4 linked regions of the Drosophila melanogaster genome follow. The protein of the gene in region 2 interacts with the protein of the main gene of each other region in a biochemical or structural test. Each region holds a gene or a part of one and is shown on either strand. Other genes may lie near its edges. The genes, in order: AGO2, Fmr1, sau and RpL11.

Region 1 (7,599 bases), on a different chromosome or scaffold from region 2:
GAGGAAATTCAAAAACTTACCTTGTCACAGGCTTGTTTAATACACCTCAGTTCCTCGTTTTTGATTTTCGGAAACTGGCCGTCGCTCACGCCATCTCGGTAGTAGATGATATGATCAGGATAGGCGTTACGGTACTCTTTATACACGCGCAAGTGCTCCAAAGTAATCGAGAACATGTCCTCAATCTCCTCCAGAGCCCCTCGCTGCAAACGATATTGCATGTTATAACTGGCTCCGTAGGGATCGTGTGAGGCTGCTACTCCGACCACACTGGGAATCTCGCGCTGATCGGGAGAGGGATGGGTCACATCGGCTCCAATGTACATGGTGTTCTTCATCATCGGCAGACGAGGATCATCCTTGATCTTGTGGTTGATGCCGTTCAGCTTGGAGTTGATCTTAAGTAGAATATTTCCAATCGTCTGATTATTACACTTTCGTTCCACGGTGAACTGCTTAATGCATTGCGTCAAAATTCCATGCTGCAGCTCGGCCTTCTGCTTAATTGTATCGTAAGAAATTCTAAACTGAGGAATAATCACAATTGCCAGATCGTGCTGGCTGCGCTTCAGATCCGCGAAAATAGTGTCTAGGCTGCGTTCGTCATCCGTGAACGGTCTGTATGTCACATCAGAATCCAAGCTTATGTTGACTGCCTTGCCTTGGGATATTATTAGGTTCCCGAAGTCATTCAGCTGGGTATAGTTCATTTTGCGACCACTCCTCGGATCGCAATACAAGACCGCACACTTGTGCGCCTTGGGCTTGGGCTCCAGAAACTTCATGCCATCCATGCGCCACGACCCGTTCTTCACCATAGTAAACCTCTTACTATGATATTCAACCTGAGGTGGGCTTAGGACGCGGGTGCTTACCACAATAAAATCGTTGGCAATGCGGATGCCAAAGCGACTGATGGTCGGATCCAGGTTGTGCTGGAAGTATTGCAGCAAGTTCATAATCTTGCGCTTTCGCACGTTCGTCGATGTGGCTGCGTACTTTATCATATTGGCCACCTGAGTTGCTCCATCCTTGCGCTGTGAAATACATATGTTTATAGGTATATGTAATGACAATATAGCTTACGGTATTGAACACCAAGATATAGATATAAAGGAATTTAGTGAACTCACGTTTAGGGCCTGACCTTCCTCGATGCTGCATAGCTCGATGGGCAGCAGAATACTCTTGATTGAAGATCCAACGTTCAGACAATGGAGTTGGGGAAACTTCAATGGGTAGTTGCGACTGTGGAAGTAGGACGCAATGGTGACCTTCTTCCCATCGTGTTCGAAGGTCTCACTGCTGGCCGGGGCACGAGAAAGACCATTTACACGGTATACCCTTGGAGCGCTTTGAAACGACTGAGGAGGCGTGTAAACCACATTAATGCCTCTGAGGAATGGCTCAAGGAAGCGTCGCGAATAATCTAAATTCGTTGTATTGTTGATTTTAGCCTTTAAGCTAAATCGCTCCAAATATTCGATCATCGGCATTGAAATCGGAAAGGATTTGTGCGATATATCTACATTTAAAAATGGCCTATCGCCCAGCATAAATGCCTGATACAGACCGACCAGGGCCTCGTATCCATCATCCAGTTCGTGACGATTATTAGGATCGGACATCTTAAAGAAGGAACGACCGACACGGATGGCTTTGTTGTGGCAGGGTGAAGCCAAAACAACCTCCACGCACTGCATTGCTCGCATGGGCTTGTCGAAAATTCGGTCATTCATATAACTGCAGAGGAGCGCGTTCAATAGGAGTATCCATAAAAAACATAATTTATATTTACGTAGTTAACGATTTAAGGTCAATGGTCGAGTCACCAGTCTCCTTGATTTCGATCGTGTAGCGCAAAGTACGACCATTACGATCTGTCACCTAAAATAATAAGAAATAAAAACAACTAAAATATCGTATAGATTAAATTAAATTTAACTGCCACTGTATACATTTAAAAATGTTATTACTCCCAGTTGTTCATAACTTAGTAGACAATTTCTTGCAACTTACAGTCACTTCCGGATTTTGGCTATTTAACGGCAGCTTATCCACCGAGTAGCAAGAGGCTTTGCCATCATAGGCAAGAACTGCTCCGCCCAATTGGTCCACCCGAAATTGTTCAAATGCCTGTCTGTAAAACTTTTTGGGACGCTCTGGCATGATCTTCACGTCATAGTGGTATGCCACAGAAGGCATTTTGGACAGGTCAAGGTCCAGATAGTTGATGCCTACTTGCCCGGGTTTGCCGATTGTTCCGCGCTTAATGCTCCCGGCTGGCTGAGGCGGTAATGGTAATGGGGCAGCCTGCTGTTGCTGAGGTGGTCCACGAGATTGGTATTGGCCTTGGCTCTGGGTTTGGTTTGGTTGTTGTCCAGGCGGACGCTGTTGGTAGCCACCTTCTTGCCCTTGTCGTCCTTGCTGATGGCCACCTTGTTGTTGTCCAGACGGACGCTGTTGGTAGCCACCTTCTTGCCCTTGTCGTCCTTGCTGATGGCCACCTTGTTGTTGTCCAGACGGACGCTGTTGGTAGCCACCTTCTTGCCCTTGTCGTCCTTGCTGATGGCCACCTTGTTGTTGTCCAGACGGACGCTGTTGGTAGCCACCTTCTTGCCCTTGTCGTCCTTGCTCATGGCCACCTTGTTGTTGTCCAGGCGGACGCTGTTGGTAGCCACCTTCTTGCCCTTGTCGTCCTTGCTGATGGCCACCTTGTTGTTGTCCAGGCGGACGCTGTTGGTAGCCACCTTCTTGCCCTTGTCGTCCTTGCTGATGGCCACCTTGTTGTTGTCCAGACGGACGCTGTTGGTAGCCACCTTCTTGCCCTTGTCGTCCTTGCTGATGGCCACCTTGTTGTTGTCCAGGCGGACGCTGTTGGTAGCCACCTTCTTGCCCTTGTCGTCCTTGCTGATGGCCACCTTGTTGTTGTCCAGACGGACGCTGTTGGTAGCCACCTTCTTGCCCTTGTCGTCCTTGCTGATGGCCACCTTGTTGTTGTCCAGGCGGACGCTGTTGGTAGCCACCTTCTTGCCCTTGTCGTCCTTGCTGATGGCCACCTTGTTGTTGTCCAGGCGGACGCTGTTGGTAGCCACCGTCTTGCCCTTGTCGTCCTTGCTGATGGCCACCTTGTTGACCTTGTTTAGTCCACCCTTGTACCTGCTGTTTGCCTTGTTTTTTCTGTGCAGTCCATCCTTCTGCGTCTTGGGATTTTTGCTGTTGGCCTCCTTGCTGGAACCCAGATGCACGGGATCCGCCTGAGCTTGTGGATGGCTGTTGTCTCGAACCTAGATTTAGAAATCGACAAAGAATGTTTATTACAATAGGTGTTAGGTTTCGAAAAAACTGCAAGCAAACTCTTCGAAAAGTATTCACTTGGCTGATTTGAATTTGCTAACGCGAAAATAATTTGTATCACTTTAAAATACATACAGTTTGTCAAGAAACTGTTTACACACTGTGAAATAAGTTGAATTTTTGATTTTAAAGCTAAAAATAAAGGGTTTTTTGCTTAATTAAACGCAATTTTTTTATAAAATATAATTAAACAATATTAATTTTACTTATAAATCAAAAAACAAATTAAAAATATTAAATATACAAGAAAATAAACAACAAATTCCAAGTTTACACACTTTTGAGACTGTCAAGAAACTCTTTACACAAAACACTAAATCGAAGTTTAATCCTAAATTTTTTAATTATTTTATTAAAATTTTAAAAGTTTTGGTATGTAGTATGTTCCCCATTGGCTTTAGCTACAAGTTGAAGCCTTTTTTTCATGGATTGGACAAGTTTTTGCAGGTCATATTCAAACGGGATCTTTTCACACTCTTCGACTATTACAGTCATAAGCTGTTGTTGTGTTTTAGGTCCCTTTTTGCCACCTTCTTCTTTAAGTAGGTCCACAAATTTTCAATGGGGTTCAGATCAGGACTCTGAGGGGGCGTATCGATCACTTTACCACAGTTATTAAGGCGCCAGGTGCGTACATTGCACTCTTTATGTTTCTGATCATGTCCTGGTAAAACTTAAAATTTGGCTTGTTGTTGCTAACCAGACTAATTTTTTCTACACTGGCCTTCAAATTTGTTTTTTAACATTTCTAGATATTGCACGGCATTTATTGTGCTCTCAATTAAGGCTAGTTTTCCCACTCCACGGCTGGTGATACAGCCCCACATCATCAGTGACATTTTTCCAAATTTTATCGTTGGAATGATATTTTGTTTTTCTAGCGCACTCAACGGTTTGCGCCATACTCTGCTTGGCCCGTCGTTATAAAAGAGCATCATTTTTGTTTCGTCACAAAATATGACGTCATCCCAGTACTCTTCCGCATGATCCATCATGCTCACAGCGAATTAATGACGCTTTTCCATATTGGCATCTGATAGCAAAGGGTTTTTCCTTGCAAATCTTGAAGAGTACCTATGGCGTAGGATGACTTGGCGCACAGTTTCGTGTGACACAGTTAGGTGGCATTCTTGCCTGATATCCAGAGCAAGTGATCTGACCGAGATTCGGGGGTTCGCAATCACTATTCGCATAATAAAGCGGTCTACACGCTTTTTAATTTTAATTTTCCGTCCACCACCACTCTTAGGTTCAAGCCTGCCCTCTTTTTCCGAGCCTTTTAAAACATTGTAGACGGTCTTACGGGATACAGGAAACATTTATACTAATTCTGGAAAAGATTTTCCCAACTGGTGGTTATAGTTTATTAATTGGGTAACTTCAAAAGTTAATCTCTTTCCAGGCATTTTATTAAATTTAATAATTCGCTTTAAGCACGTTTGATCAGCAAAATTTCACAAGCAAAGTCAACAAATTTCAATAGAAGCGTTGTAAAAAGCAATGCGAAGCCAAAAATAACGGAAAAATCGAGTTCGTTCTAAGAAAAAGAACAAAACAAAGTAGGAAAACAAAATGTGTAAAGAGTTTCTTGACAGTCTCAAAAGTGTGTAAACCTGGAATTTGTTGTTTATTTTCTTGTATATTTAATATTTTTAATTTGTTTTTTATTTATAAGTAAAATAAATATTGTTTAATTATATTTTATAAAAAAATTGCGTTTAATTAAGCAAAAAACCCTTTATTTTTAGCTTTAAAGTCAAAAATTCAACTTATTTCACAGTGTGTAAACAGTTTCTTGACAAACTGTATGTACATAACCTTAAATGTAAAGATATATTGATGTCAAATGTTCAATTTCGCTTCATCTTTCAGATTTTTAATAAGTTTATAATTGAGTTAAAATGTCGGATCTGGTATAAATTAAGATTAAGATTTACAGATTTGAGCAGATTTTAATTCTTAATTGTTTGATGCTTCTGCCTAAAGCACAACTGTTACATTTCATAGCAAAATTCATTTTTTTAAATATAAAGGAATTTTAATTTAGTTATGTTAAGGGGAAATTCAATAACTGTTATATACAGTAGAATTCACCTTTAAGTATAATACACACATACATAGGTTCTATACAACCATGGCAGTTGAATTTCATCATGGCTGCCACGAATTCGGGAATTCCCAGGCATTTCGAAAGTTTATGGAGCATTTGATTGCAAATGGTAAATCCATATGTACAAAACATATGTATGTACATGCATGCATACATCTATTTTTTGCCTACGCCGATATATCGCACTTTGCACTTACTTTGTTGTTGTTGCTGATGCGGTTGTTGTTGTTGCTGCTGCTGTGGTTGTTGCAGCTGCTGTGGTTGTTGCAGCTGCTGTGGTTGTTGCAGCTGCTGTGGTTGTTGCTGCCGTTGTTGTTGTTGCTTTTGCTGCTGCTGGGGCTGTGGTGCTGCAGCGCTATCCTGTCCTCCTTTCTTGTTCTCTGGGGTGGTAATTGGAAAGTGCATATATTTGAATAGCTGTATGGTCCTGCAGGTGGGACAACTCACTATCTTTTTTTCCCATGATTTACTTTTGAGGGTTTCGAGTTAACTGACGACTTTTAATAGACGATTTTTTAATGCGTCACAGTCTTTTTTAGTGATGGGAGGCCTTAGGGGTGGGCGATAAGTTATTGAGCGGCACAGCTAAAGTGTTTTCTGTTATCGATTATTGATAGGAACATACGGACTAGGCGGGCCATTCAAGTGGGGACTCTATTTATATTTGTATATTTTTATACATGTTTTGTATACATGTTGCTTGTTGAGTCAAATGTATGCTATATTCGTTGAAAAGCATGTATCCGGCAAAAGAAACCGATTTCGACCTAATAAATTATATATATTATAATATATTATATATATTATATATATAAGGACCAATAGCCGAGTCGATCTAGCCATGTCCGTCTTTCCGTCCATCTGTCAGTCCGTACGAACGTCGAGATCTCAGGATGAATAAGAAGCTAGAAAATTGAGATTACGGAAAGCCCCCAAAACTTCCCACGCACATTTTCAAAATGTTTTGACATTTTTCATATTTTTATTAGTCTTGTAAATTTCCATCGATCTGCCAAAAAACTTTAAATTGCCACGCCCACAGTTATGCAAAATGTGATATTTTTCATATTTTGATTAGTCTTGTAAATTTCTATTGATCTGCCAAACTACTATTACTCCCACAAACCGCCGAAAAGCCACGCTTACAATTTTTAACAATTTTAATTTTTTTTCTTATTTTATTCACCAATATCTAATTTGCGTTCGCATTTCCAATAGTTGAGTAACTGGCATCTGATTATCGGGGAAGTTTAAAATAGGAAAAAAATTTTAATTTACTAGTTTTTTTTTTTAAATTTTATTTTGGAAGAAGACATCAGTAAGAATCAATAAATTTAATCACCACTGCTAGAAAGCATTATTTTTATTTTTCCGCCTTTAAGTGAAAAATAGTTTTACATTCCAGAAAAAGTATTGTTTTTCCATAGATAATAAATAAATAAAAGACCCAGATTCCTGCTGTTTGTATGGTTGTTTGAATTTTATTTGGAATTGCACTTTTACTTTTGCCAAATTACAGCAACCAATCATAAAAGTTTTACAATTTTTTTTGATGTATTTTCTTGTTTTGTTTGTTTTTTCCATTTTCAACGTTAAACATACAATATATGCGTTTAAAATGCTATAGCCAAAAAATAGTAAATAGTCGTACATTATTCATACTTGTATATATAAATATATCATAATGTATATTTCATGTTGTCTTTAATTTGTTTGTTTAACGCTTTATTAATAAAATTTTGTTTGTCATTGCACGAGCGTTTTGTTTTTCAACATCGATTTCTGATTTTCGTATTTTTACTAAATATCTTTCTTTTAAAAATTTTCTAACAATTGCACAACTTCGCCCGCTTGATTTATACACACATGCACAGACATACGTAGAAATAGCTAAATTATATTTTATAGATACATATTATCGAGTTGATAGGAAATCAACGGGTTACGCTTGAAATTTCCGTTAAGTAATTTTGTGTTTATAAATTCAACTAATAAAAACTAGAATGACTCATTTAGAACGCTGCGAAAAGAATACAAAAATATCTGTATAAATATGTATGTATGCCAAAAAATTGCACTAAAACGTAAAACACAAATTGTAAACATAAAAAACAAAATAATTGCTGCGAAAT
Region 2 (5,004 bases):
AATATAAATGAAATTTTATTACCCCAATTTTTCATATTTAACACGAGGCAGTTATTAGTTATGATATGTTTATTCTGCTATTTAAAGGTATTAAAATATACACTGTTTTTGCACTTGGACTTAGAAATAATTAGCAAGGGAATGATACTACCTGGTTTTTTAGAAGGATGATCTCATCTTTTTTAACCATTAAACAAAAGAAAAAATAAATTTAACTTTCGTATTAAGGGTATTGTTGCTCAGAATTTGCTCCAGCAATTTGAGAATGACTAAACTTATTGAATTTTATTTCTATTAATATTCACACTTATGCGCGAATTCTTTATGTTACTATAATTACAAATGCAGTGAACACCTTTTATAAGGAATGTATTATCTTATTTATTATTGAAAAATTTACTTGCCCGAATATTCCTCGCAGTGTATTTTACGTCGAGAGGAAGTGACGTACCTGTCACGATCGAGATTGTCACATTTTGGCAAATAAATTTCACTTGATCCCTCCACGCGGTTAAAATTAGAATTTAAATTAATTTAGTGCCCGAAGTGACCAATTGTTGCACTGCAATTGCACCCGAACCGAATCGTTTCAAATCCGATCGCGAAACGAACATAATGCTAATTGAGCGGGACAAATTCTGGGGTGCGAGCGAGATGGCTAGATGCGAGAGGAGGAGGGGCTGTCGTCGCTGAACTTTCGCTCTTTTGTTGGCCATGTCGACGTCATTAAAGTGCAGTTAATGTGCCAAAAGGTAGAACAAAAGTCAATGTCAAACGGCAGCTGCTCTCATTTTCCTCGGCAGTGGAAAAGCGGTTGAAATAGGGGTGGTTAACTGGTGGGCAAGGGCGCGGGAAAATCAAATCAGAAACTGCATTTCCGCAACAAATCGCCGCTTGACAGTAATTACCGTCAACACGAGCGGTAATTTATGACTATCGAATTGCGAATCTTGATACCCTGTATGGAAAATTGTTATGGGATTTTAACGGAATCTGCCTGCAAATAGGCTGGGAAATGCGAAAATGGCGAGTAGAGGGTATTGCCTTTGCACAGAGACACAGAATTTCCAACTATTCACAGGCATATAAAGGATTTAATGGTTCCCATTAACTGACTGGCCATGAATTTTTATAATTTGTTGGCCCATTTTCACCACACAAATGCCTAAATGGCATGCGATTTAAATACAGGCGAGCTTTTAGACTTGCCCACTTATTAATCAAGAGTAAAGTTCACAAATATAATTCATAAATCTTATTAAGTAGTTCCAAGCAAATATGTGGTTTCATCCTAAATGGAGTACTCCGTCAGATTTCTGCTGTCCGATCCGCTGAAAATTGATGGAAATTGGATTACAAATAGACCGCACTGCACCTTTATCGGCCACTCATAATCAAATGCGTTTCATGAATGGAAGGGCAAAATAAGAAAAAAAAAATAGTAAAAAGCAAATTCAACAAGCGTGTTGACAAAAAGCGCCAGCGACGTCACGCGATTTGGGGGCAATCAAAGGGGCAAATAAAACACCGCATGTGGCAAATTGCGCCCACTGTTGACCCCAGCAGTCGTTGCAATTACATAGACAATTACATTAACATTAAGGCGTAGTGGTCAGCAGTTCTGCAAATTAAAATCGAATCGAATCAATTGAAAAGCCACCAAACATGCGAATCAATCTGCTGATGGGCTAGCAATTCAATTACGTTGTTAGCAGACAGCAAACTAAGTGAGCAGTCAATAGTGTTCGGTTCGTCGACTTCATTTAAATTTTAAATGATCTTATCAGCTTTTTGAATTTCGAATCGTAACCGCCTAGCGCGCTTAAAATACAACCCTGTTTATTGTGAACCCACAACTTATAGTCACTCTGGCAAGGCCCGGTGAGCTGTCACTTAGCAGCCTTGCCACTTTACTGTCAGATCATTTTTCTCTCGCTTTCAAACAAGCCCTGTGTTATAGAGCACAAATCATTTATCAAAAATTTCGTATCTTATTTTCACAAATTTATCGCTTGGGCCAAACACGCCCGAAATCTAGCCAAAACCATCCGAAGTGGCCAGTAACGCGCGCCGATTGTAAACGGGTGGCAACTCCAGTAGAACGTTGCCGAGCTGCGAAAGTGTGCAAAAGCAAAACGAAGAGAACGCAGCGCAGCCGAAAAAAATTGAAGCAGCACTGCACGCGATATATTTTGTATTTTCAAAGGTTAAAGCCGCATTCACAGGCATCCGCCGAGGGCAAACGAAGTGCAAAAGTGCCGGCCAGCAGTAAGTTTTCAAAAATTTGCAGTCTCTTGTGTATTACAGCCGCAAAAAGTGTTGAAAAAATTTTGCAAGAACCGAAAAAAACCAAAAAATTTTGCACATCGTCGGCGGCTGCGACGTCGACGACAGCAGCGACGCCGCCTCTCTGCCGGCAGCGGCAGCAAAAGGGAGCAGCTGAAAGAGGAAAACCGATAAAATACAAAAAGAAAAGTAGAGAACGAGAACGAGAAAAACGGCGAGCGGCTACGCAACGCTGATGTTTCTTCTCTTTGAGAAAAGCGAAAATCGAAAGCAAGTGTGGAAATTATGTGTAAATTCGATATGTAAATTCGGCATGTGCCGTTCGTAGTGTGCGTACAAATTCTTATTGGAAAAGCGTGTTCATCGGTGTGAACGAACGAACGAAGCATTTCGGCGGCGAGAGAGAGAGAAAAAGAGAGCGAGAGCGCACACGCTTGGTGGTGGTCATGTGTGTGTGAGGCGGCGGGCTCACACACACAAAGGGAGAGAGACAAAGAAGAAGAGGAAGCACTGCGCTGCTGCGCTGCCGGCAAAGCCGACGTCGCTGCCGGCTTCGCCGCCAGCTGCATTTAGTGTTTAGCTAGGAATTATCTGGCCCCCAAAATAACTTCAAAATTTTCTTCAACTATTTTTTTTATTAGTGTGTCAATATATAGTCTCCCTCTCCAGATACAAAAATTCAAAAATACCAAAAACAAAACCATTCCATATTATTATTGATTACAGGCAACATTTGAAGCAGCAGCCGCCAAGCAAAAGACTGATTTGAGTACAAGGAACTAGAAGCAGGAACGCGAGGTTTCTGCCACTGCACACTGAATTGTGAGCATACCCACCCATACCTAGCTATATCTATAGCCCTAATATCTCCATTCTTCCCCCTCAGGAGCCCCAGATAACGCGGCAAACTGCAGTCGACGGGGAAAAGTCGGGAGTTGAAGGCTGGGCAGCATCAGCATCAGCAGCAGGAGGGACAGGGACGGACGGCGAAGAACCACCAGAACCAGAACCAAAACAAAGCGGATAAACCAGGAGGCACTACGTCTGGCGATATGGAAGATCTCCTCGTGGAAGTTCGGCTCGACAATGGCGCCTACTACAAGGTGAGTTGATTCAATTGGTGGAATAAAAATGTTGGTAAGGGGGTGACAAAAAAAAAGAAGGAAAAACAGAGGAGCAAGGAGTTGGGGCAGCAGCTGCCTCAGTTTCTAATTTCGTGGATTTTAGCTTTATTTCTATTAATAAACAGCAACATTTTGAGTGGAGTCTCGACATCATCGCCACCACCACCACCACTACCACTACCACTACTACACTAATACCAGCACCATCGCCAATCTGCATACACCAACGCACTCACGCACACTGCGTTGTGGGGGTGCCGACGTCGACGTCGATGTCGATGTCGACGCGGACCGCGCCGCCCACTGCGCTGCCCACTGACGTCGTCGTGCATTCGGTTTTGTTGTTTTGATGATTTCCCTTTCTTGTCGTTGCAATTTATAAAGATAAGATCCGATTAAACCATCTTATATCGCGGTTAAGTGATTTTCGCGGATAGATTACAGGTATACGAGGTTGTTAGATCTCGAATCATTAGTCTTATGAACGAAGTTCAGTCTTAAATCCCATTCATAATGCTAGCTTTTGATGTGTTTTATTGTTCACTGTTTAAACAAATTCAGCAAAAATGTATGCTTATAGGCTTAAATTTTCCAATGATAATATAGACATTTTGGAAACCAGATAACAGTGCACTTAAGAATATTCTTATACTTTCAATTATTGTTCTTAGTACTTATCCCCATCATTAGCTAACCTATTCTGGAAACCTTCTGGATATGTATAGTAAGGTAGTGAATACTTTGCATAGCGTTGCCTTTGATTTCAGTGCTTGGAATCAAAACAAGGGCAATGCACATAAACACACTCGACTAGAGCGACTTCCCTGATGCTGATGATTCAGCTGTCGGCTGTTTGCATTTCGGATAAGGTTCTACGACTACTCGCTTATCGGAGATATACGGTTTCCCTCGCTAATGCCATTGCAATTCTCGATTTCACAATGGGACGGGATTGGGGGGACTATCGTAAAAATATATTTTATATACTTATGCATATACACACATCCGAATGGAGGTATATCATAGGCAATGGCCACATTAATGACACACATTTTTCTCTCTCTACTCCTATGCCTTCCGATGCTGGCCCTGTCAATGCTCTTGTATTTCATCCGTTTGCTGCCTGCCTGCCGCCAACAAAAAACTACAACTGCAAACTAAAAACTACGACGACGACGACAACAACAACAACAGGGCCAGGTGACAGCTGTCGCCGATGATGGCATCTTTGTGGATGTGGACGGGTAAGTTTGTTTAAACAAACAAATCTGCGAACAGGGCAAACAACAACAACTAGAGCGTATTTTCTAACTAATTTGCAACGATTAATACAATCAGAGCTGCAGCAGGAGCAGCAACAACCACCGACGCGACTTCTTGGCATCCGAATTAGAAATTAGAGATTCTGGGCACGCATCATTTGTGTCGTCCGCCATCCGCCAAACCACTTCCCGCCGAATCCCCTACTGCGGACTCACTAATTTGGCGCAATTTGTTAAACGCCAGACGCCGCTGCAGCAGTTTCTGTTGCTATTAGTTGATAAAAAAGAAAAAAAAAATGAGCCAAATCAAATAAAACTGCTGACTGACAGAC
Region 3 (7,282 bases), on a different chromosome or scaffold from region 2:
GCCGTGTTTAAGTTCGACGAGAAGTGGTATCGCGCAGAAATCGTGGACATTATGCCTAACCAGTACAATCCAAAGGAGCAGGTGATCGATCTCTACTTCGTGGACTATGGAGATAGCGAATATATTTCGCCAGCTGATATCTGCGAGCTGCGCACTGATTTCCTCACGCTCAGGTAAGCAGTTCGACTGATTGGATAGACATAAATTTATATTTCACTATTTTAGGTTCCAAGCCGTTGAATGCTTCTTGGCCAATGTAAAATCTACCATCCAGACGGAGCCTATTACGTGGCCAAAGTCTTCAATCGCAAAGTTCGAAGAGCTGACAGAGGGTATGATTTCAGCAACAGTTGCTAGATATATTTTTGACTAAACACCGAACATTTGTAGTGGCACATTGGAGAAAGCTGATTGCTCGAGTGGTGACCTACAAGGAGCGTCCACGGGCAACCACCGCTGTAAGTGCTGCTGCCAAGGAGGGAACCCCGCTGCCCGGAGTGGAACTATTCGATCCAGCCGACAACTCTGAACTAAATATTGCCGATCTGATGATCACCCAGGGCTTTGCTCTGCCCCTGGACGATTCGTATCCAGTGCGGTCACGCTCCTCGACGCCCTCAAGTAACAGCGACTCCACCATTGAGGAGTTGTGCGTCAGCAATCCAGTGACTCCGCTTACGCCCCACTCACCTATGTCGATGTCCATTGATGTTGACAGCATTACGCAGGCGGAGAACGAGCACCTCGCCCAGCAGCTGCAGCATTTGCAGCATAAACTGAACGGAAACGACATAAAAAACATTAATCCGGCTAAACTGACGGCTACAGACCTCGAAAACGGGAATAACAATAATGCCAGCACCACAAATGGTGCTAGCGCGCATTAGGATTTCACATTGTTACTAATTATCCTCGCCTAATTGTTTATAAGATGAAGGCTGGACGAGCAGCTCACTACTTGACGTGTACATAAAAGTATAGCTCTTAAGGAACTTATTGTATAGGTACGAAAGAAAACTGTTTAATTTATCGCCGTGACTGATCGACATATCCTAGATCCTAAAAGCTGACGATGGAACGGCACAGATCCTTAATTGTTTATAGCAACCTTTGCCATGTTACTTATTGTTAGCAAGAACAAGAAAAACATTTGTACATCAACAAAAAATACACAAAAAAGATCACAAACTTATCAAAAGAAATGCATTTTATAAGAATATCAAGCTTAAGTCTATTTTGGTGGCCTGTTTCAGAAATCTGTATTAGAGAAGTATTTCAATATTCTTTGAAAATAAGATTTTCTAGATGACGTTAAGGCATAATTGAAAATGAATATAGTTTCTTCAAATGAAAAGGGCTACAAATATTAAAAGTCGCTTAAAGTATATTAAAAAACCCACCGGGGGGCAGAATTGCAGTCTTGTTTGGGGGATTTACCCCACGCTTAGATTAGGATGTCGTTGGTGGTGTTTATAGCTATGGGGGGCAGGTATATGGCGCGGATCTGACTGCGCAGGCGTACGATTTCCATGTCGTCCCTTTCCATTTCTCTGATGAGCTGGGAGAACTGGACTAATCCCTCGCGGTTTCCAGGAAACCCATGACCCTTAATGACCTCCAGTTGGAGTTGCATCACCAATGGAAAAACCTGCAATGTATTATGTTAAACTATTTGGTTATTTGTTTTGATTTGCTTGGTATTTACGTGCTGCATCATGAGAATCATCTCTTTTCCAGCGGAAGCCTTTGCCTCTGAGAGTTTCTTCGAGTTTTCCGGCTGATTTACACAGCGTATTATGTCCATAAGAATTTGCTTGGCAGTATCACTGTTGAAATTGGTCAAGTAGGACATTATAAACGTTTTAACGGCAGTGTTTGTGACGAATTTAGGCAAAATGCAACAAATTGTAGTAGGTTTTATTTTGTGTTTCCGTTAGAGATGAGTCATACAGCGATTACAACTATCGGACAAACTATCGGTTCGGATTCATAACATTACCAAACCCTTAGTATGGACAAGGAACTGTAATATCATTCAAACAAAAACTTTACGATTAAATAAATTAAGCTGAATTACAAAAAATTAAGAGTAAAAGTTAAATTAATTTCGTTTTAACAGCACCTCTAGAAGCAAAACGTTATCCAACACTTAAGGTCTGGAAAATTGCCAGTACTGAAAAGTGCGGAAATCATGTCACGTCGGAACGTCGACAAAAGACACAAATAATAGGAAAAAGCTTATTTCGCGCAGGCACTCGCATATTCCCAGTAAATGCAAGGCCAATGCAAATGCACCATTAGTACGGGCCACCAAATTGTAAATCAAACCGTCGAGTTCCCAGCGCAAAAACGCCGAGCAAAGCAGCAACAACGAAACGCAGTTTAGGGCCTGCATTTTTGCGATAGTGTGAAAAGTGCGTGTGTGCAAAAGAATACAAAATAAAGGGGGCGCAAAAGAGTCAGTGAAAACAACAACACACAAAAACACAAGACACAAGTACACAGAGAAAAACGCAAACACCCGCACTCGCGCAAACAGACACACACACACACTGTGAAACTCCCAACGTCGAGTCAGCAAATTGTGCCACACACACAAAACGAGGAAAGAGGAAGAAGAGCAGCAGCAGAAAAACATAGGTGCTCCGCTCGCATCCCACATCTCCAAAACTCCATCGATCCGAACTTCCCGACTACCCAACCCAACTCTCCGGAATGAATCGCTCCGACGGATTGGTGCGTCGCTCGGTGAAACCCCGCGAAAACGGTGGGGCGGAGGGTGGGTTGAATGCCAACACGCCGGACGACAACCAGGATGCACTGGACAACCTAAAGGACCAGGAGGACAATATCGACGATGGCGACTCCAAGGAAACACGACTAACGCTCATGGAGGAGGTTCTGCTGCTGGGACTCAAGGACAAGGAGGTGGGTGTGCTCCTTATCTCTTATCTGCTTGGGATGCACTAATTAATTGGTTTCTTTCGCAACATAAGTGCTTCTTCTTCACCTGTTAACCGACGTCTCTCTCTCTCTGTCGCTCTCACGATTTCTCTCTTTCGCAACCTCTTGCTTGGCCCCAAGTGCAACGCAGTCCATCTTCCAGCAGGGGCGTAGTGAAAATTGGATACAGGGGGGTAACTTATCACTTCAGTTATGGGGGCAACAATGTTTATCTGTCCTACAGATAAACATTTTATGCCATGTCTTAGCCACTTCTCTTAGCTTTTCCAGTTTGTTAAGCAATGCACTATGAAATCTTTTGACCAGCCTGCTGACTAATGCGCAATCAGTGAGACTGCCAACACCATTTTCTTAACCACTTTTGTTTTTGCATTAATTAATAGTGTGCTCCATCTGTTAAGGTCTAATCAGCCGTTCATTCTAATCTATAGAACCCATTACTTGCCCTTTGTAATACTTTGATGTACTTCCCAAATAAGTGATGATATATTTATATATAGTATATAATAGGTTTATTTTATGTGTTACACTATCGCGCAATTGCTTCCAGTGCCAAATCAAAAAGATTCTTAGAATTGTTGCCAACGTTCTTAGTTGTTGGAAAGATAGCGCTCTAATACTTCTTCGGTTGGCAGTTGTGGCTATAAATACATACATATCTCTTCGAGAACTTCACTCCGCGCAGCACGGAGAACGGTTTCGTCAAACGAGTTTTCCAATAAGTGGTTAATTTGCATAGGTTTGTAATATTCATAAATCTACGTATAGCGCGGGATGATGTCCGTAAATGCGAACCATCATCCATACGTGACCCATTATGGCGAACAGGCAGATTCGCATTTCTCCATTGAATTCGGTTTTTATATTTCACTTGGCACACAGCTTTATCGCTCAATTGCTGTTCGCTTGTACCACATAGGAATGCACACATGTGCCTTTGTGGCTGGCACCACGTCTATTTGTTTTCATCATTTTGCCCGCAGTGTATTTGTGTGACCACCCACACCTCCATCCCTGCCACCTCCTCTCCCTTCGCATAAGAGGGATACGAGCTGGAAACAGTGGGACGTGTTGCCCGCTTTTGTTTTACATTCCCCTTCCGAGCGCTCTTATCGCGAAGATTTTGTCCATTTGGTTAATTGTTTGAGGAAGTACATACTATCAAGTGCTGCTCTCCTCTGCCTAGCTCTCATCCGTTTCGGGCTTTTCTTATGTCAGTACGTCACTCATTTTCGAAATTATACAAAGTACTTGGCTTCTACCCACACCATCCATTAGGAAAATTTCAATATCTCGAACTGCCGAACTGATAAGCGACGTGTTCTTTGCAAATGATTCACTTTTATACCTTTCGTTCGGAACGATTCCTTATCAATCATCTGAGCGATTGTTATATAAATTATTTTAAAATCGTGAAATGGCATTGAAACGTGGTTGAGGTATCTATCTATACCTTCCAATTATCATAGCTTTTCAAGCGTTAATAACAAGAGTAATTTTTGTAATTGATTTTTTATGTGGTTATAACATAACTCTTCTTGTTCGTTTTTTCATTTATACTAGCTAGATAAGCATTGTATTTTTTAAATTGACAGTTCATACACTTCTGTGGGCAAGGCCTAAACAAACTCAAGTGTTTAATGTTTTAACAACTGAATACTTTCGTCTGGGAGCTTTACGACCCCGGCAACAGGGTAATTATTCATTTCTTTTACGCCCAACACAAGTGAAAAGGCCAAACCATAGACTTGCTCAAATATATTTCAAAACCTTGAAACATGAGACAGTAACCATTTGTTAATGAAGTTTGTACTTACATTTATGTTAGATAGAATTTAATAAAATTTTAAAAAATAAACAAGTAACGCATTCACACATTCTTATTTTTAGATGCCCATCCAGGCCAATCAAATAGCTTGAATCTAATAGCATTTTTAATTACTTTCAGGGCTACACATCTTTCTGGAACGACTGCATATCAAGCGGCTTGCGCGGATGCATTCTCATAGAGCTTGGACTGCGAGGTCGCGTGATGATCGAGAAATCTGGAATGCGGCGACGTGGTCTATGTACAAGGTATGTATAGAAATCTAGTTTCCACATCCTTTCAGAAGCATGCTAACTTCAATTCGCCAACAGGAAATTAATACTGAAATCGGATCAGCAGACGGGAGACGTTCTACTCGATGAGGCACTTAAACACATTAAGGAAACAGATCCCCCGGAGACGGTGCAGAGCTGGATTGAATATCTTAGTGGTGTGTATTTAGGCGCCTGCCATTTCGCCAAGTATGTTTTGTATAACCTATTGTTGTGGCAGGTGAAACCTGGAATCCGTTGAAATTGCGCTACCAACTGAAAAATGTACGCGAACGTCTGGCCAAAAATCTGGTGGAGAAGGGTGTGCTCACGACGGAAAAGCAAAATTTTCTACTCTTCGATATGACGACACATCCGCTGAGCGACAATGTTGTCAAATGTCGCCTGGTGAAGAAGGTGCGTAACTAGACTTGGATATATTCAAGAATTCTAAAACTGAATCCGAAATGTATGACTTCAGATCCAAGATTCTGTGCTCTCCAAGTGGGTCAACGATCCACAGCGCATGGACAAGCGGATGCTGGCGCTTATCTTCCTGGCGCACGCCAGCGATGTGATCGAGAACGCCTTCGCGCCGCTGAATGATGACGACTATGAGGTGGCCATGAAGCGGGTGCGGGAGCTGCTGGATCTCGACTTCGAAGCCGAGTCGGCCAAGCCGAATGCGAACGAAATTCTGTGGGCGGTGTTCATGGCGTTCACGAAATAGACGATCCTCTGATCCTCTACGCTCCTCTCAATAGCACACACACACACACAACACACACCCCAACACAGAAATACAGACCCACATCTGGAATACATTTTGCTGCTTTTGTTTTAGAAACTTTGCTGTGAGTGGAACCGAATCGGGCGATAGGATTTTCTTAAATGGCAACCACCCCAAATATCTGTTTCAGTAATATATATTTTTTAAGCGAGACTATAAAGCAGCCATAATTCCTATTTAAATATACATATGTTTATCAACACTTCAATAATACCAATCAAACGCTCCATTGTCCTTTAATTTTTTCCTGTTCTGTTGAGCATAATAATACATGCCAATGTTTTGCAATCATAATCAGTAAGTTGTGTTCCACGACACATAGAGTTTAGTTGATGATTTCTCTGGCAATGCAAATCAAAATGTATGATGGAAAATTTAAAGCTGCAGCATTGTTTTTGTAATTATATATCTAGCACTAATTGTAAGCGCCAACAAGAAAACTTTGATAAAGTCTGGGCAAGCTGCGTGCGATTGTCTATTGTCAAATATCCTATATATATTTTATCAAAACTTTTCAATTCTATTTTTGATTGTCAAGTATTTTCGAGCCCTTTCCATGTATTCGATTGCGCGTAGAAAATCAGTTCAAAACGTTTCTCGAGCTCCGCAATTTTACCTTAGTACGTTCGACCTTAAGTATGCACCCACCCACATGAACAGACAGACATGCAGACAATTTGACACGGAGCGACATTCAATCTAGGCAATGTTTTAATTTAAATTGTTATTGAATTTCGGGAACATTGAAGTTGAAAAACCTTTTCTAACTGCTAAAAGAAAAATAAAGAACGACAAGAAGTGGACAGCAAGAAAAGAAAAATTATGTAAATGTAAACTGTGCACGTCAAATAATACTAATTCTTAGATATTTAAAGGCCTAATAAAATACAAATATAAAATATATAACTGACGCAAAATTGAAAGTTTATTGCAATTTCGGTTGTACCCCTCCATAAATCAGAGGAAAAATATAAAACATTTAATGAAAAATGGGTGATGAGTTTTAATAAAAGGGGGAAAGCAAAAGTGGACAATCGTCGGAGGAGAAATAGGATTCTTTCCGGTGTGACGACCAATCCGATTTAACTTATCTACTTGAAAGCATAGCCCAATTTTTGATTCGCTTTTTAATACAGTTTTTATTCCGTTTTTCATTCTCAATAAATGTGTTTTTGTTTTGCAGTGTTTGCATTTCTTTCGATAGTTGAAGGGGCAATATACCATATAAGTCGAGTAATTCTCACACGAAACATTTAGGTTATAATATAATAATCTTTCAATGACATAAAGTATGATAAAAAGCAGGGCGCAGCGCACAAATTATTGCAAAAATACATTAGGCCAAAAAGGATGTGAACAAAGAAGTGCTCTTATACTATCCGTTAAATCAACTAGCAGTTTTCAACTGTGGAAAATTTGCAAGTAATTTGTAATTACAATTAAACATAT
Region 4 (3,726 bases), on a different chromosome or scaffold from region 2:
GTGGGCACCACAATGGATGTCTGTTCGCTGGACTTTTTGAAATGATTAATTATCGAGGACTTTCCGCTGTTGTTCAGTCCCAGCACCAGAATCGTCATCTTATCCTTTTTAATCTTTATCAAATCGGCCAAATTGTGCAACATTCCCATTTTACTGGCGGACGGGCATCAATTTTATTTTGTTTACGGCGATTTTCCTGACATGTTTGGCCCTGCAAAGGACTTTCAATTGCCATGGCAACCCGCTTGGTGTTGGCATCGATTTATTGAAACTTATGGCCACCTTCAACTTTGGCTGCCGCATCCGATTTGTTCGCCCCCACGAATTTTCAAGTTCACCTAAGGCGTGACTTTGAGTATTGGGTTCGATTACAACAGTAGGGGAAGAGGTCACCCATCATGCCCAAGATGGAATTGTTTTGGCCATATGTACACCTACACTGAACTGAATGATTTGGCTTTAGGATTTCATAAAATAAATCATGGAACTCAGTTTAGCAATTAAATCTACAACTTGTAGCAAAATCAAGAATTTGTTCCTTTTGTTACAAAAGTTTTTTCATTTTGGCATTTTGATATTTACAATTGATTTCTATAATAGTACAAGAAATTGCTTTAAAATTGATCAATTGAACAGTAAACTTTAAAATCTTGAATGCCTCTAGCTGATATCCAAATGTTTTCGTCCAGACACTACAATATGCTGCAGTTGTATCCATTAACAAGACGTTGGTCTCCATAGAACCTAAAACCGGATATGAAATCCTAGCAATGATTTCTTGCCAAATAACTTCAATCACGATCCACTTAGTTGAAACTATTGTCGATAAATAATGTTGATCAGAACTACGGGTTTTACGTGTTGACACAAGCCAAGGTTTATTGTAGAATTCTTCTTAAAAAACATGGTTACTGATAGAGCTCCTCTACTTCTTGGTGTTCAAGATGATACCATCGTATTTCTGCTGGAACCACTTCATGGCATCCTCCTTGGTGAGGCGGTGCTGGAAGCCGACAGTGCCGGACTTGCGCTTCCTGTGGTTCACATTGTAGCCTGCAAGATAAACCAGAGTAGCAGATAAGTAATCAACGTTTTGGCAATCCATGAGACGCTGTCGAAATTGTACCGTGTGGCCACGCATGGAATGTAGCAAGTCCAACTAAGCACATCTTCTTTGCTATGCGCACATTCACTGAGCATCAGAGCCTCGATTGGCAGAGATACCTAATTAAGTGCACGATTCGAAACGTAGGAGACAGATGCTTACCAGGGCGGCCGAGGACGACGTAGAAGTCCAGACCATAGATACCGATGGAGGGATCGTACTTGATGCCCAGATCGATGTGTTCCTGGATGCCGAAACCGAAGTTGCCGGTGGAGGAGAAGTTCTCCCGACGCAGCTCGTACTCGCGCACCTTCAGGCCACGCTCCAGAATCTCCTCAGCCTTGGCGCCGCGCACCGTGCAGTGGACAGCGATCTTCTCGTTACGGCGAATACCGAACGAACGGACCGTGTAGCGGGCCTTGGAGAACACTGGCTGCTGACCAGTCAGCTGCTCCAGCACCTGTTGGCATTCTCTAGTTAGCCAGTGATCATGGTTATGCTGCATCTAGGTATATCTTACCTTGGCGGCACGGGTCAGCCTGTCACCGGACTCGCCCACGCAGATGTTCAGGCAGAGTTTGCGGATGTGCAGATCCCTCATCGGGTTCTTCGCGGGATCGCGCTTAATCTTCTTGGTAACCGCCTGAAAAACAACCAAGGAAACTCGTCACTTCTTGTGCTGCCATCGTAAACACACAGCGTACAAATTTTGCATGACAAAAATATTGTTGAAAATATGTCGATGCGTGCAGCAATTGTGGTTGAACCTACCGCCATTGTGGTATGTAGGAGTGAAAGCTGCTCACAGGTATCCCTCGCTACAAATAAACGATTTAAAAGTGGTTAAATAAAAATATCGGCAAAAAAAACGCGGAGCACTCACCGGAAACTTGTAAGAAAAGAAGGAAAGGATAGTGTGGCCGCGCTGAGGCGCACAAATGGACCTAAAAAACGCACGACACGTGCTGTTGTCGTGCTGTTATCCAACTATCGTGCTGTTGTGCGCACGTCGTTCCATCACTAACGGTTAACAGGGCTAACGGTAAATAAATGGGGTATTCCTTAAAATGTTAACCACTGAAATTGGTTTATTCAATTATTTTAAATGCTGAACAGCAAATATGGCCGATAATTGTGATTATTTGATTGCACGGATGTTTAAATTACTTTGAGGTAGCTTGATTTGATATTTGTTTACTTGGCGTTATTCGCATGTAACGAAAAATCCTTTTAGAATAAAAATTTATTTGAAATACGGCCCGCTTAATTAACTTCATTTCGCATTAAACACATCGTTTAAGTAATGCGCCAAAATTAATAAAAAAAGGCACTTCCAGTGATATCAATTGAAAAACTCGAAGTAAACGTCCATAATAGTTTATTTGAATTATTAATTTTAGCAATAATGTGTATTCCATTGAAGAAGTCCGTCAACTTTAAAGTGTGTAGCATCAATTCGTATGTAGAGCTTAGTCGATGGACTTCATCTTGCAGAGGAAGTTAATCGGTAGCAGCTTGATTTCCTCGTTAATCCTGCAGACGAACACATCGCCATCCTTGGACAGCACTCTGCCCACGGACTCGCGGTCATCGCCGTAGATGATCTTGAATTCGTCGCCATTGCATGGTAGCACTGGCGCCAAGTGCTCACTAACGATGGACACACTGCGATCCTCCTGGCGCAGGAATACGGAGCAGACGCCGTTCGAAACGGTGCGAATGATGCCCGTTTGCCCAACGAGATCGGTGTCGTCGTGCGTGTGAATCCGAACTTCAATGTCTGTGGTACACCAGTCGCCCATCGACGAGTCCAGACTGGCTCCAGGGGTCTGCGGATTGTACGGCGACTGCGGTATGCCACCAGGAGTATTCGGTGAATAAGTCGATGGCGACGGAGTGTTCATGTAACCAACGGGATACGGCGACGGAGCAGGACTGGGGCTGGGATTGAATGGACTGTAGCTTCTGTCCGATCCATACAGAGTGCCAGGAGTTTGCGGGGCAAACTGGGAAGTCATTTGATAGCCAGGGGTACCTTTAAGATTCGATGGAGTTACAATATGTCAAGAACAATGCGCAACCAAAGTACTTACTTGGATTGTATCCAGGGCTGGGACTGGGCTCCTCAAGGGAGTAATCGAAATCGTTGTTCCTGGCCGGCGTTGTGTTTGCCGTGGGATCCCAAGCGCCATGACGTGGTGTCATGCTGCCATCGTGCGATGGTGTCATTGTACCATAAGGAGTACGAGTATCCGTATCCCAGTTGGGCGTCTGGCTTCCCACCAACGGAGTTTTCGATCCGGCAGCGGTATAACTGGGAGTCTGGGCACCGTAGCCGGGAGTGCGAGCTGGGGTGCGTCCATATGTGGAGACACTGCCCTCTTTACCGGTAACTCCCACAATGGCAATGTGATTCCGGTCTACCGAAATCGTCTGGCATGAGGTATGCAGTTCCACACGAGCCGTGCTCTCGGTGGCATCCTTCACAATTCCCACGGCGCCCTTATAAGGTCCTCCACTAATCTTAATGGTTTTACCCAAGATCTCACGGTCACGGGTCACTCGGAAACCACCTCGTCCACCACGGGCGCCACCACGAGCTCCACGACCACCGGATGGAT

The links.
Region 1: the proteins of Fmr1 (region 2) and AGO2 form a complex in vitro, tested with the Drosophila melanogaster proteins (one study listed by BioGRID).
Region 3: the proteins of Fmr1 (region 2) and sau form a complex in vitro, tested with the Drosophila melanogaster proteins (one study listed by BioGRID).
Region 4: the proteins of Fmr1 (region 2) and RpL11 form a complex in vitro, tested with the Drosophila melanogaster proteins (one study listed by BioGRID).

The regions. Positions count from the first base shown.
Region 1 is NT_037436.4:15,552,538-15,560,136, reverse strand, and holds the start of AGO2 (argonaute 2), read right to left. Parts: upstream 6,025-7,599; 5' UTR 5,931-6,024; coding exon of another isoform or gene 5,915-5,930; 5' UTR 5,873-5,914; coding exon 5,665-5,872; intron 3,315-5,664; exon of another isoform or gene 3,288-3,314; coding exon 2,020-3,287; intron 1,888-2,019; coding exon 1,799-1,887; intron 1,744-1,798; coding exon 1,134-1,743; intron 1,038-1,133; coding exon 21-1,037; intron 1-20. UniProt on the Drosophila melanogaster protein: Essential for RNA interference (RNAi); double-stranded RNA induces potent and specific gene silencing.
Region 2 is NT_033777.3:10,107,080-10,112,083, reverse strand, and holds the start of Fmr1 (fragile X messenger ribonucleoprotein 1), read left to right. Parts: upstream 1-1,962; 5' UTR 1,963-2,268; intron 2,269-2,475; exon of another isoform or gene 2,476-2,560; intron 2,561-2,860; exon of another isoform or gene 2,861-3,012; 5' UTR 3,013-3,108; intron 3,109-3,172; 5' UTR 3,173-3,194; coding exon 3,195-3,389; intron 3,390-3,741; exon of another isoform or gene 3,742-3,854; intron 3,855-4,604; coding exon 4,605-4,654; intron 4,655-5,004. UniProt on the Drosophila melanogaster protein: Polyribosome-associated RNA-binding protein that plays a role in neuronal development and synaptic plasticity through the regulation of protein synthesis of mRNAs.
Region 3 is NT_033779.5:2,224,354-2,231,635, forward strand, and holds sau (sauron), read left to right. Parts: upstream 1-1,988; 5' UTR 1,989-2,715; coding exon 2,716-2,928; exon of another isoform or gene 2,929-2,952; intron 2,953-3,010; exon of another isoform or gene 3,011-3,251; intron 3,252-4,912; coding exon 4,913-5,040; intron 5,041-5,103; coding exon 5,104-5,222; intron 5,223-5,284; coding exon 5,285-5,460; intron 5,461-5,524; coding exon 5,525-5,773; 3' UTR 5,774-6,746; downstream 6,747-7,282. Other genes in the region: papi, read left to right, coding at 1-173, 226-332, 391-887; CG15387 (uncharacterized protein), read right to left, coding at 1,445-1,648, 1,706-1,852. UniProt on the Drosophila melanogaster protein: Phosphatidylinositol-4-phosphate-binding protein that links Golgi membranes to the cytoskeleton and may participate in the tensile force required for vesicle budding from the Golgi.
Region 4 is NT_033778.4:19,440,640-19,444,365, reverse strand, and holds RpL11 (ribosomal protein L11), read right to left. Parts: upstream 2,025-3,726; 5' UTR 1,989-2,024; intron 1,924-1,988; 5' UTR 1,883-1,923; coding exon 1,877-1,882; intron 1,749-1,876; coding exon 1,626-1,748; intron 1,566-1,625; coding exon 1,268-1,565; intron 1,240-1,267; exon of another isoform or gene 1,110-1,239; intron 1,054-1,109; coding exon 926-1,053; 3' UTR 541-925; downstream 1-540. Other genes in the region: Arl6 (ADP ribosylation factor-like 6), read right to left, coding at 1-149; Spt5, read right to left, coding at 2,575-3,140, 3,199-3,726. UniProt on the Drosophila melanogaster protein: Component of the ribosome, a large ribonucleoprotein complex responsible for the synthesis of proteins in the cell.